2 linked regions of the Arabidopsis thaliana genome follow. The protein of the gene in region 1 interacts with the protein of each later gene in a pairwise test. Each region holds a gene or a part of one and is shown in the gene's direction. Other genes may lie near its edges.

Region 1 (7,015 bases):
GGTCCAAACTGAAACCAGACGTTTGAGTTGCAGGAGCCTGGCCTCGTGGAGTGATATACGGTCAGAATTCAGAAATAAACAAGTCTTGACTTTTCTTTGTCGTTGACCTAGTTGCTATTTTCCCAATGGGAAAATTAGAAAATGAATCACTCCTATAGTCCTATTCAATCCATTTGTTTATGATCCTCGTAATTTTAAATATCGAATATTAATCTACAAGCCATAAATCATTTGACCAAATCGTAGCCATTTTATTTTCTGTAACTAAACCATGGCTATTGACTTTGGAAAAAATACTACATCTATTAGTTTAAAAATCTAAACAACTCATTTTCAAGATTTGGGAAGAAAAAAAACATGAGCTTTACATTGTCTACCATAATTAAAATGGTAATAGAAAAATTCTATTTCTAGTTTTTCAATATATGGTGAATCTTTCAGAGCACTATAAATTAAATATTTGGATACCATTACTTCTTTTCCCGTAAATTGTAGCTACTGAATGATAAAGCTATTCACCATTTGAGTAACTGACTCTCTTTAGTAAAAAGTATTTATAGATTTATGGTTTGCATTTAGATTAATTAAACGCACGCGTTAAAAAAAAAAAAAAAGAAGCGTGAGCCAAACGATTGAAGAAAAGTTTAGCTAATTTAGCCAAATAGTAATGAAAATGTTTCAGTTACAAAATAAAAAATGGCTTTACATTTATTGACAAAGCAAAACAAAAAGAATATGGGGGTTACATTTGAAAAAGTAGCTTTATTGTTTATGGGTTGTCTCTAGAAAAATGATAGTCTATGTGTAATAAATTAAGTGGTTGGCGTAAGCTTGACGATGACGGTGAAGAAGTTGGGAGTTTTTGGGAGATTCACAGTCAAAGTTCACATTTTTAAAAGTTCCTTTTTGCTGCCAATCCATACCTCAACCAACAACAAATTTGTCAGTTGTGTGCATTTATCTGTCGGTTTAAAATGGTTTTGCATAGACTATATAATAACAAAAGTTGAAGCTACTATATTTTTTATGTTATAAAACTTTATCCTATAAATATTGAAATGAAATACAAGTAATGAAACTTGCAAGTAATAAAGAAATATAAAGCTTTCCTGCTCACCTTATATTAATTTATAACGTTAAATATTTATACCATTTTTGAATTGCATCAGCGATTAATAGGGAAACAATCAAACAAAGAAGAGAGTAAGACTGAAAACTACAACTAAAAACAACAAAACAACAAAACATACCACAAGAAAAACATAATCAATGTTAAGTTATATTATATATGGTTCAACTTTTCTTTCTCAATCTTGACAAAATTGACCATACGTATTTTCCCTTAGAGCATCTACAACAATGGGATCCATATTTTACAATAAAAAATTTACAAATAGACATTTGAACTAGATTTATATTTGACATTGTCCAATGATGGGATCCAAATATAGAGGATCTAAAATTTTAAATGTTTGAAAAATGTGTCTAAGGTATGTGTGTTTGTGTGTCCAAAGAAGCGTCCAAAAGAGTGACTAAATGTCCAAAAATAGATCTGTATCTAAGGTTTTTTCTTCAATTTTGATTTAATTTTTAGATCTTTGATGTTTAGGACATCCTATTCCAACAAAATCTGAAGACCGACGCTAAAAACCCTAAACAGACTTATATTTCATATGTGTAGGTGACAGTGACAGACCGTATTCCTCAAAACGTGGAAAGATTCTTCCGTTTGTGAGATTCGATCTAATATTTCTTTAAAAATATATATATTACTACAATATGTTCAGAAGAAGAAGAATCCTCTACAATCAATTCATACAAAAATATAGGAAATCAAATAGCAATATCGTTTTTTTTTTTTCATCTTTTATAGATTGACTAAATAGAGCAAGAAAACTAGCAAACTTCCTTTTTTGTTGATATATACTACGTACAAAAGATAAGTTCTTATCATAAAAGTTTGTTGAAACATGTTTACCTCTTCTACTCTAGGGTTTGGATTTAGAGTTTAGATACAAGCTTTATTTCATATATTTCTCAAGAAAATATTAATATCTCATTATATTTTCATACATTATATGAATAATACGTACTGTCTTCCTCGGAAAAAAAAGGAAACCATTATTGTTATCTATGAAAAAAGTAACATGCGAAGAGCTGCAAAGCTCCTCATAAAAAACTTGAATAATCTTTAATTAAATAAACAAGAAAACATTGAGACTCTCAGATCCTTGACTTATAATGTGTATACTAATAAAGATATAAGAATACGGGAGAATCTTCAAACGAAACACAACGAAATAAAATGATGATGAGTAACGTAACTACCTTTAGAAAAAAAAAAAAAAAAAAGAAGTCATCGTTTTCCATAATCATCATATTTTTGAGGGATATTCACCAAACAGAATCATGGTCCTTTAAGGTGGCAGAGACGTTGGTTTTGATTGCCAATGGAAGAATACTCCCTCATGGTCCAACCACTCGTTTTGCTCTCATCACCTTCAACGTAGAACCTGAGATTCCTCTTCTTCCCGATCACTTCACCGGTTTTCTTCGACACGACATCTTTTAACTCTCCAGTGGCTTTCCAACCTTTAACTTTGCGATTTGTCCTTTTCACGAAATAAAACCACTCGTTAGGTTCAAAGATATCATTCTCTGTGTGATTAAGCCGCCACGGCTCTTTGGCGTAGATGTTGTCCCTGTCTTCTAACAAATATATCGTGTTTGGTTGGTGGAAGCCAAGCTTTGGTAGAAGATAATCGAGTATGAGTTCTTCTTCTGAAGGATTAAATCTAAAGCAACCAAGCTCTTCCTCTTCATCGTAAAATTCTTCAGTCATCGGCATCATCTTCTTCTTCTGAAATTTCCTCGAGTCAAATGAGAGAGAATTAATTATGAACCTCCTCTAATGAGGTTTATATAAAGTGGAGTATGATTGAGAACCGACTATTGAATATTATCTAATTTGGATTAGTTTTGGATATATATAAATATACAAAAAGGAAAGTTTACAAGTTTTTCATGTTATTTTTATAAAAATAAATCCAATAGGCACAGGGCTATACCAAACGAATAATAATGATGTCAAAAAAATAAACGAATAATAGTTAATAATTTTTCAAAAAACTAAAGACATTTATTTTGTGGCCCAATAATTCCAAACACATCAATTTGAAAAAAAAAATTATGTAGAGGAGATACAAAAGGAAAACAAAAAAATTTGTATGGTTTCGCACTGGGCTGGGCCTATCTAGAGTCCAATAGTCAGCAATGGTTTGGTTAACCTTTCTTTCTTAACCTTGGCTAAACAGACCACAAGTTTGGGTTCTAAGGTTAGATAACAATAAAATCTCAGGGCCGACCCCTGATACTTATGCTCATAAGCATATCCTAATTCTTTTAGCTAATATCGTTTAACGAATTTATGCTAATAATAACATGCGATCTCATTACTTGAATATCAAGAAATGCAACAAACTCTCTCTTTTTCGTCCCAAGAGGGGGTCTTGGCCTCTTGGGTATACTTTCTGCAGAACCATAAATTATGTTTCTCGTTTAGGTTCTGTCCTTTTTTTTTCTTTTTTTATAATATCTTGACTATATACCAGCCTATGTATATCATTTTTTTTTACTCTAATATATACTGGAAAAAGGAAAGAAAAAAGGTTTTTGTTTGTGCTCAATTCCTATAAGTTAATTTTTACATGTATCTGTTCTCAATAGTGTCTACATTCATTTGATCATTATAATTTGTACACTAGTACACTAAAAAGGAAAAAGAAAAAAAGCAGTATAGACTTTCCATAGTCAGAGCTCACCAAAAAGGAACCATGGTCATTTGAGGTGGCAGAGAATATGGAAATGAACTCATTACATATTTTGTACAACAAACCCATTTTGGAATTAAACAGGCCCTCTATGTTAATCAGAGCATAAGGATTTCATCTTTTTCTCTACAAACTTTTCAATTATCTTTTTCTAAGAGTTACAAAAGTATATTTGTTTTCTATATAAATTTGGGATAGTCTATCTACATTTCTACAAAATTCAGCTAACCGTTAGGTGAGTCACTCATAGTCATACATATCTTCCTTCTATATAAAAAAAGAATATTAGTTTTGAGTGGACTGATAAATATATTCTTTTCAACAAGAAGAAAACAATCTTCTTAAACCCAAACGTTCAAGAAAAAGAAAAAAAAACGATACTTACGATGAGTGCGGTAAAATCGGCGTTAGGTGATATGGTGATAACCTTTTTGTGGGTTATTCTCTCGGCGACGTTTGGGATACAGACGGCGGCGATTGTTTCCGCCGTAGGGTTTCATGGTATCACTTGGGCTCCTCTTGTGATCTCAACGTTGGTTGTTTTTGTCTCCATCTCGATTTTTACGGTTATTGGAAACGTTCTTGGTGGTGCTAGCTTCAATCCTTGTGGAAACGCAGCGTTTTATACCGCCGGTGTTTCCAGTGATTCTCTCTTCTCCTTGGCCATTAGATCTCCTGCTCAGGTGTGTGTTTATGATCTAAGCTAGCTTTTGAAACCAAACCAACTTCTTCTTCTTGTTCTTTATTTTGTTCTGAACAGAAAGATTTTTGTTCATATACTTGTGACATCTTTTCATATGAGTATTTGCTTTTGTGTCTTGTCTCTTCGAATAAGAATCTATTAAAGTTTTATCCTTACACATTGTTTATGAATTTCTTTACATTTATTTTGTTGTTAGAGCAATGTATTTTCTTTGTTTGTTGGATCTATGTGAAGTTTATTGTGTGTGGTCCATGTGTGTTTTTGAATAACGTACAAACTTTTTTAATTGGAGATTTTGGCCCAAGTACCCACTGGCATATTTGTTTCCATATGTAATGTAACCTTTTATATATCTTAGGCAATTGGTGCGGCAGGCGGTGCGATAACGATCATGGAGATGATACCGGAAAAGTATAAGACTAGGATTGGAGGAAAGCCTTCATTGCAATTTGGTGCACACAATGGAGCTATTTCTGAAGTGGTCCTAAGTTTTAGTGTTACATTTTTGGTTTTACTAATTATCCTAAGAGGTCCTCGAAAACTGCTCGCGAAAACGTTCTTGCTCGCACTCGCTACCGTATCGGTGTTTGTCGTAGGTTCTAAATTCACTAGACCATTCATGAATCCTGCCATTGTAAGTTCATACTCGTCCTACTCAAGAATTGTTAATTCATTTTTATTACATTTTGAAATGAATCTTGATATATAGTCTTGTGGTATATATTGTGATGCAGGCGTTTGGGTGGGCATATATCTACAAGTCTCACAACACATGGGACCATTTTTATGTGTATTGGATCAGCTCCTACACCGGAGCTATTTTATCTGCGATGCTCTTTAGAATTATATTTCCGGCTCCACCTCTGGTTCAGAAAAAACAGAAGAAAGCTTGAGAAAAAAATGGAAAAATCTAAGTAAAAATTTCATGAATCATAATCCCATTTGTTGTATGTTTTATGCTGTTGTCGTATTTGTACTTAATTTATAGTTTATAGCCCAAAAAAAAAATTCGTTTCTTTTTAAAATTTATGGATTCACATTTTCTCGGTTAGTGCGTAATCTACAAATTCACTCTCGTCCGGTTGAGTAGTATTGGTTAAGTTCGGTACGTGAAGGAGAGTCAGGGTGGGTTAATCCGGTTAAGGTTCATGTTTTCGATTTACAACTTCTATTAACCAGAGTACTCAAACCGAATTTCATACAGCTCAGGTTTATATGGTTTTGATATCCACTTAGCTTTGATTTTTATCAAATTATACCAAGTTCGATTCAACCAAGTTTCACTATCACAAAATTGCAAAAAAAATAAATATAAAAAGTAAACAGTCAAATTAAAAATCTCATGAAAAATTAGGAGTTGTTAGTGAAAATATTAGTGATAATCCCTTCGTTTCAATTTATTTATAATTTAAGAATTTTGCATACACATAAAAAGTTAAGACACTACATAAATTATGTAAATTGTTTATCTTTTTTATACTATAACGTCATTTTTTATTTAAAATAATATATGCAACCAATAACAAAATATTCTGCATAATACCAATATAATCAAAAGAAATAAATAATCATAAATTTTTGCAAAAAAATATTAATGAATAGCATTTATTTTTCAACAAAAACTTTAAAATACAAATAAATTAAAACAGAGGAAGTACTTAATTAAATATTTTGGTATTTATTACTACTGTTTAATTTCAATATAAAAAAAAATCAACTTTAACTAATTTATGCGTAAGCTCATTGTGAGAGTTAAACATAGTTGGGAGTTACCCATCTCCCGCAATCGTAACCCATAACGTCTTTTGTTTGCATCCATCGCTCTCTCATACAAAATTCAGATCTGAAGCACACACAAGCTTCGGATTCCAGATCAAATCCGGCGATTCAAGCCGCTTTCCCAAATTCACCGTCGATCTGGAGCCGTTACAGGATCCGCCGCAGACCACGGCGTCCTCCGGTACCGGCAACGGCAACGGTAAGATACGCTACCGTTCGCCTTCTTCCACTGAGCTCCTGGAGTCTGGTAACCATTCTCCTACATCCGACTCTGTTGACGGAGGTAAGATGACGGCGAAGCGTGGGATTGGACGGCACGAATCTCTTGCTGACAAGATCCAACGCCATCGTGGGATTATACTTGTGATTTCGGTTCCCATTGTGTTGATCGGTCTCGTTCTTCTGCTAATGCCTGGGAGATCGATTTCTGATTCCGTCGTTGAAGAGTATTCTGTGCATAATCGCAAAGGAGGTCCTAATTCGAGAGGTCCGAAGAATTACGCTGTGATTTTTGATGCTGGAAGTTCTGGTAGCCGTGTACATGTTTACTGTTTTGATCAGAATTTGGATCTTATTCCTCTTGGGAATGAACTTGAGCTCTTCTTACAGGTGATACATTGGTTTCGTTTTTTTCTCCTCTTTCTGGATCATAATCTATGGCTTAATAAGTGCTTGATAGATCTTTGTGTCATTCCCGAGATTT
Region 2 (4,391 bases), on another chromosome or scaffold:
AGTCATATTTGTATGGTTAAACTCTTTTGACAAAAATAATTTGGATCCTAAATTTTTTGCTATGTTTCTATGGGTCATGTGCAATAGAACACTATGCAAATGTCCAACAGCAGCACTGACTCTGTAGCATGCTTATTTTAGGTCTGTTTACTCAGTTGGTTGCGGTTTGGGAGGCAAACTTGGTCATGGGTCAAGAACAGATGAGAAGTATCCTCGGGTCATCGAGCAGTTTCAGATATTGAATCTTCAACCTAGGGTAGTTGCAGCGGGTGCTTGGCATGCCGCGGTGGTAGGTCAGGATGGAAGAGTGTGCACTTGGGGTTGGGGAAGATATGGATGTTTAGGTCACGGTAACGAGGAGTGTGAATCAGTCCCTAAGGTTGTTGAAGGTCTAAGCCATGTCAAAGCAGTTCATGTCGCAACAGGAGACTACACTACTTTTGTGGTCTCAGACGATGGTGATGTTTACTCGTTTGGCTGCGGCGAATCCGCTAGTCTCGGTCACCATCCATCCTTTGATGAACAGGTTAGTGATTGGCCATGGCCTCCATTGTTTCTTTTGCTTACATTATATGTTCTAAACTTATGTTTAGTCGTATGTCTGGTTTGATTTTTTGTTGCAGGGTAATCGACATGCAAACGTGCTAAGTCCAACGGTAGTAACATCGCTAAAACAAGTGAACGAGCGGATGGTCCAGATAAGTCTAACGAACTCCATATACTGGAACGCTCATACATTTGCGCTCACGGAATCGGGGAAGCTATTCGCGTTTGGTGCAGGCGATCAGGGTCAGCTTGGAACAGAGCTTGGTAAGAACCAAAAAGAAAGGTGTGTACCGGAAAAAGTGGATATCGATCTCAGCTAGCTAGCTGACTTATGTGGTTTGGTTGGTAAGAAACTACGTTTGACATCAAGGAAACAAAAACGCAAGAAAATTTGCGTTTGCTTTTTATGTTCATAAGACTTGGAAGCTTGTACAAAAAGGGGAATAACATAAACTTGTCTTTAACATTTCATTGTATAGGGTTTTTAGATTATTCTAATTGTTCATTGGTTAAGTTTTAGGTTATGTTGTTAATAATTATCAAATAATTTCATTAAATCAAATTATTGTCAGATTCAATTTCTACCAAATTTTTATTTTATTTTCTGTTTTCATATTTGTTGGGTTTACATCTATATATACATTTTTGCAGCCATTTTGTGATTTACATTTATATATACATCAATAAATCATGGAGTTGGAACTTATTTACAATGGTTACCACTGGCTTATTCAATGCGAAAATTAACTATCAAATAAAAGCAAATCTTATTCAAAAGAATATGCTCTTATTCCATGGCCTAGTTATTTTTGCCAAAATGGTTAAAATATTTAAAAATTAAATAATTATTTGAAAGAAAACTTTAAATTGATTTAAATTATAAATCTTTTAATAAAAATATTAATAAAAAAATAAAATAAAATAATTTCACCGAACATGATTAGATAGTAGGACTAGATGGTATGACATGTTTATAATATTATAATATATAAACTTTATAACAATTAAATAAATATTTGAAAGAAAACTTCTAAATTGATTTGAATTAAATATTTTTTAAATTAAAGTATTATTAAAACAAAAATAACAAAATAATGTCTAATTTTACTGAACAGGGTTAGTGGTAGGACGGGTTTGGTCGATAGTATTACGAGACGGTATACCACAAGTGAAATCCATTAGATATGTTTAATTTCATTGTGCATGATTAGATGGTATGACGGGTTTTGATCGATAATAATACGAAACGATATACTACGGATGAAATCCTAGATATGACAATTAAAATCTATATATATATTATCTTAAACACTAAATAAAGCAAACAATATTAATAAAACAAATATCTACATATACATTTTATATAACAAATTTTATTAAAAACCTAGCCCCGCGGTATACCGCGGGTCAAAATCTAGTTAGAGTACTAATATTCTATCGAAGAAAAATCTAAAATCCTATTTCTCAAATTGTTTTTGCTATATTTGATAAGATTAGAATTTAGAAAAAGCTTAATTAGGAGTAGAAGATAATATGTAATTTGCAATTTTTTCCTCAACCTTTAATATTTTTGGCAAAACCTCAAATTGCGTTGAGTCATCTTAGCACTTTGATCAAACAACTATATAAGCAAAGACCCTCATTACACAATTCAAGATAAATAAATAAAACAAAATACCCATAAAACATTTTTCAAAAAAAAAAAGTTTTTTGGGGATTACTAAATAACTAAATTAAAAAATAATGGCGCGTCTTCACCTAGCTCTCCTCCTCCTCTTCGTCGCTATCTCCGCCGTGATCGTATCAGCTGCTGAGAACGAAAAACCACCGTCAACCACCACCGCCTCAGCTCCCACCGCTACAACTCCAACCGATGGCATTGGAGGTGATATAGCAGAGGGTCCAGCTGATGACAATGCTATTGGAACAACTGACAACGACGATGCAGCTGTTACTCCCGATGATGCCAATGGAGATGATGAAGTGGCAGTCGCCGGACCTATTGGAAGCGATGCTTCGTACGCTAACTATCCTCCACCACAAAAAGAAGCTTCCGGAAGCGATGCCACCGTAGCTTTTGGCTTTGTCTCTGTTGTTGGTGCAGTTGCTGGATCGCTCTTCTTTTTCTAGAGTTGTGATCGGCGCGCGAACTTATTACTATTGTAATAAAAATGTTTGTAATATTTTCTTGTTTTAGATGTATTTTGACGATCCCTTCTTCGATGTAACATTGATTATATTGGGATGATACATATTTAATATACTAATATAAAGAAAGTTTTTTATTTGTGGGGTTAATATATTTCTGCATCTCATAAATTTACAAAAATAGCCCACAATATATGGGCCGTATTTTCTCACAGGGCCTAGCCCATCAACGTGTGAGTAAGCGCGTGTTTTTCACGTCTAAAAACCTCCATATCTTCTCCGCTAGCTCCGGAATAGAAGAAATTTTGCAGAGAGAAGCGTCAATGAAGGTCCAACGGTCAACTTTTTTGGCGGTGACCGGAAAATCAAATCTTCATCACTTTCACTCGTCTTCTCAGGTTCTCTTTTCTCTTCTCTGCGTCATCTAAATCAATTAAAAATCGTTCCTTTTGTCACTTCTAAGAATACCCATTTGCAATTGCAGAAAAAAATCTGAACTTTTTCTGATTTCATTGCGTTTTGGGGATAATGTCTTAATCAATTTCAGAGAATTCCCATTACTTCCGAGATCGATTCACGAGAGTTTGTGTCTAAATTACTCGATAGAAAATGGGGATTACAGTGTCCTGCATCTCCAATTCAGCAGATTAGTGTTTCTTCTGTCAAAGGAATCGATAAATTCTCCTTCTTGAACAACACTCGTCCACATCTCGGAGATGAAATGTCGAAGTCGAAGCAAGGATCTTCTTTTTACATTCTTAGAGATGATCTTTTACATCCTCTTGTGAATGGTAACAAAGCTAGAAAGCTTGATGCTTTGTTACCACTTGTTGAAGATCATAAAGTGACTGATTTGGTGAGAATGTGATCACTTATAATATCTCTCAACTGGGTTTTTTTTTGGAAATGGCTTAAAGTTTAGAAGTTTTTTTCTTGTGTGTAGGTTACATGTGGAGGTTGTCAAAGTGCACATACAGCTGCTGTTGGTAAAAGTTTGAATCTTTAGAGAAGAAATGGTATTGACTTTTGATTGCAATTTGAATCAGTTATTTGTATATCTTGCAGCTGTTTCTTGTGCTGAGAGAGGTCTAAGATCACATTTGCTACTGCGTGGAGAACAGCCTGATGTTTTGACTGGTTATAACCTTGTTTCAACTATGTATGGAAATGTTCAGTATGTTCCAAGATCGAGGTATGCGAATAGAGAGGAAATGCTAAGAACTTATGCGGATCTTGTTGCTGGGGAAGATGGTACTGTCTTATGGGCTAAAGACATTGTTGAGGGACGTGACACTATGAATGTTGCAAAAATGGATGATTTTTCGAGTATGAAAACTTCTCGTAGAAAGGTTTTGATCGTTAATGAAGGCGCAGGAGATGCTCTTGCATTACTTGGTAAAGATTGATTTTTGATATCTAGTTTAGGTAGTGGACCAGATCAATGTGGAAGAATTGACCAAGATTATTGTTTATGCATTATAGTTAACAAGGACTTTGTTATTCCGCAGGTATGTTTCGGTTAGTGCAGCATTTGTCACAGGATCATTTACTCGGGAAGAAGAGGCCGGTTAAATTTGTAGTGGATGCTGGTACTGGAACAACTGCTGTGGGTTTAGGAGTTGCAGCTATGTCTTTAGGGTTAGGCTCTGCTCACAAGATTTACCAATACTCTTTGTGTATGCATTTTATCTCATTGC

The links. The genes of interacting proteins can lie anywhere in the genome.
Region 2: the proteins of SIP1;2 (region 1) and AT3G26110 interact in a protein complementation assay, tested with the Arabidopsis thaliana proteins (one large-scale study listed by BioGRID).

Annotation. Positions count from the first base shown.
Region 1 is NC_003076.8:6,053,609-6,060,623, reverse strand, and holds SIP1;2 (Aquaporin-like superfamily protein), read left to right. Parts: upstream 1-2,255; 5' UTR 2,256-2,355; intron 2,356-2,407; coding exon of another isoform or gene 2,408-2,851; intron 2,852-3,046; exon of another isoform or gene 3,047-3,255; intron 3,256-3,923; exon of another isoform or gene 3,924-4,190; 5' UTR 4,191-4,216; coding exon 4,217-4,513; intron 4,514-4,891; coding exon 4,892-5,167; intron 5,168-5,267; coding exon 5,268-5,426; 3' UTR 5,427-5,554; downstream 5,555-7,015. Other genes in the region: NAC088 (NAC domain containing protein 88), read right to left, coding at 2,408-2,851; APY2 (apyrase 2), read left to right, coding at 6,601-6,921.
Region 2 is NC_003074.8:9,539,284-9,543,674, forward strand, and holds AT3G26110 (Anther-specific protein agp1-like protein), read left to right. Parts: upstream 1-2,199; 5' UTR 2,200-2,289; coding exon 2,290-2,676; 3' UTR 2,677-2,881; downstream 2,882-4,391. Other genes in the region: AT3G26100 (Regulator of chromosome condensation (RCC1) family protein), read left to right, coding at 142-526, 624-866; AT3G26115 (Pyridoxal-5'-phosphate-dependent enzyme family protein), read left to right, coding at 3,018-3,092, 3,242-3,550, 3,638-3,680, 3,760-4,089, 4,203-4,332.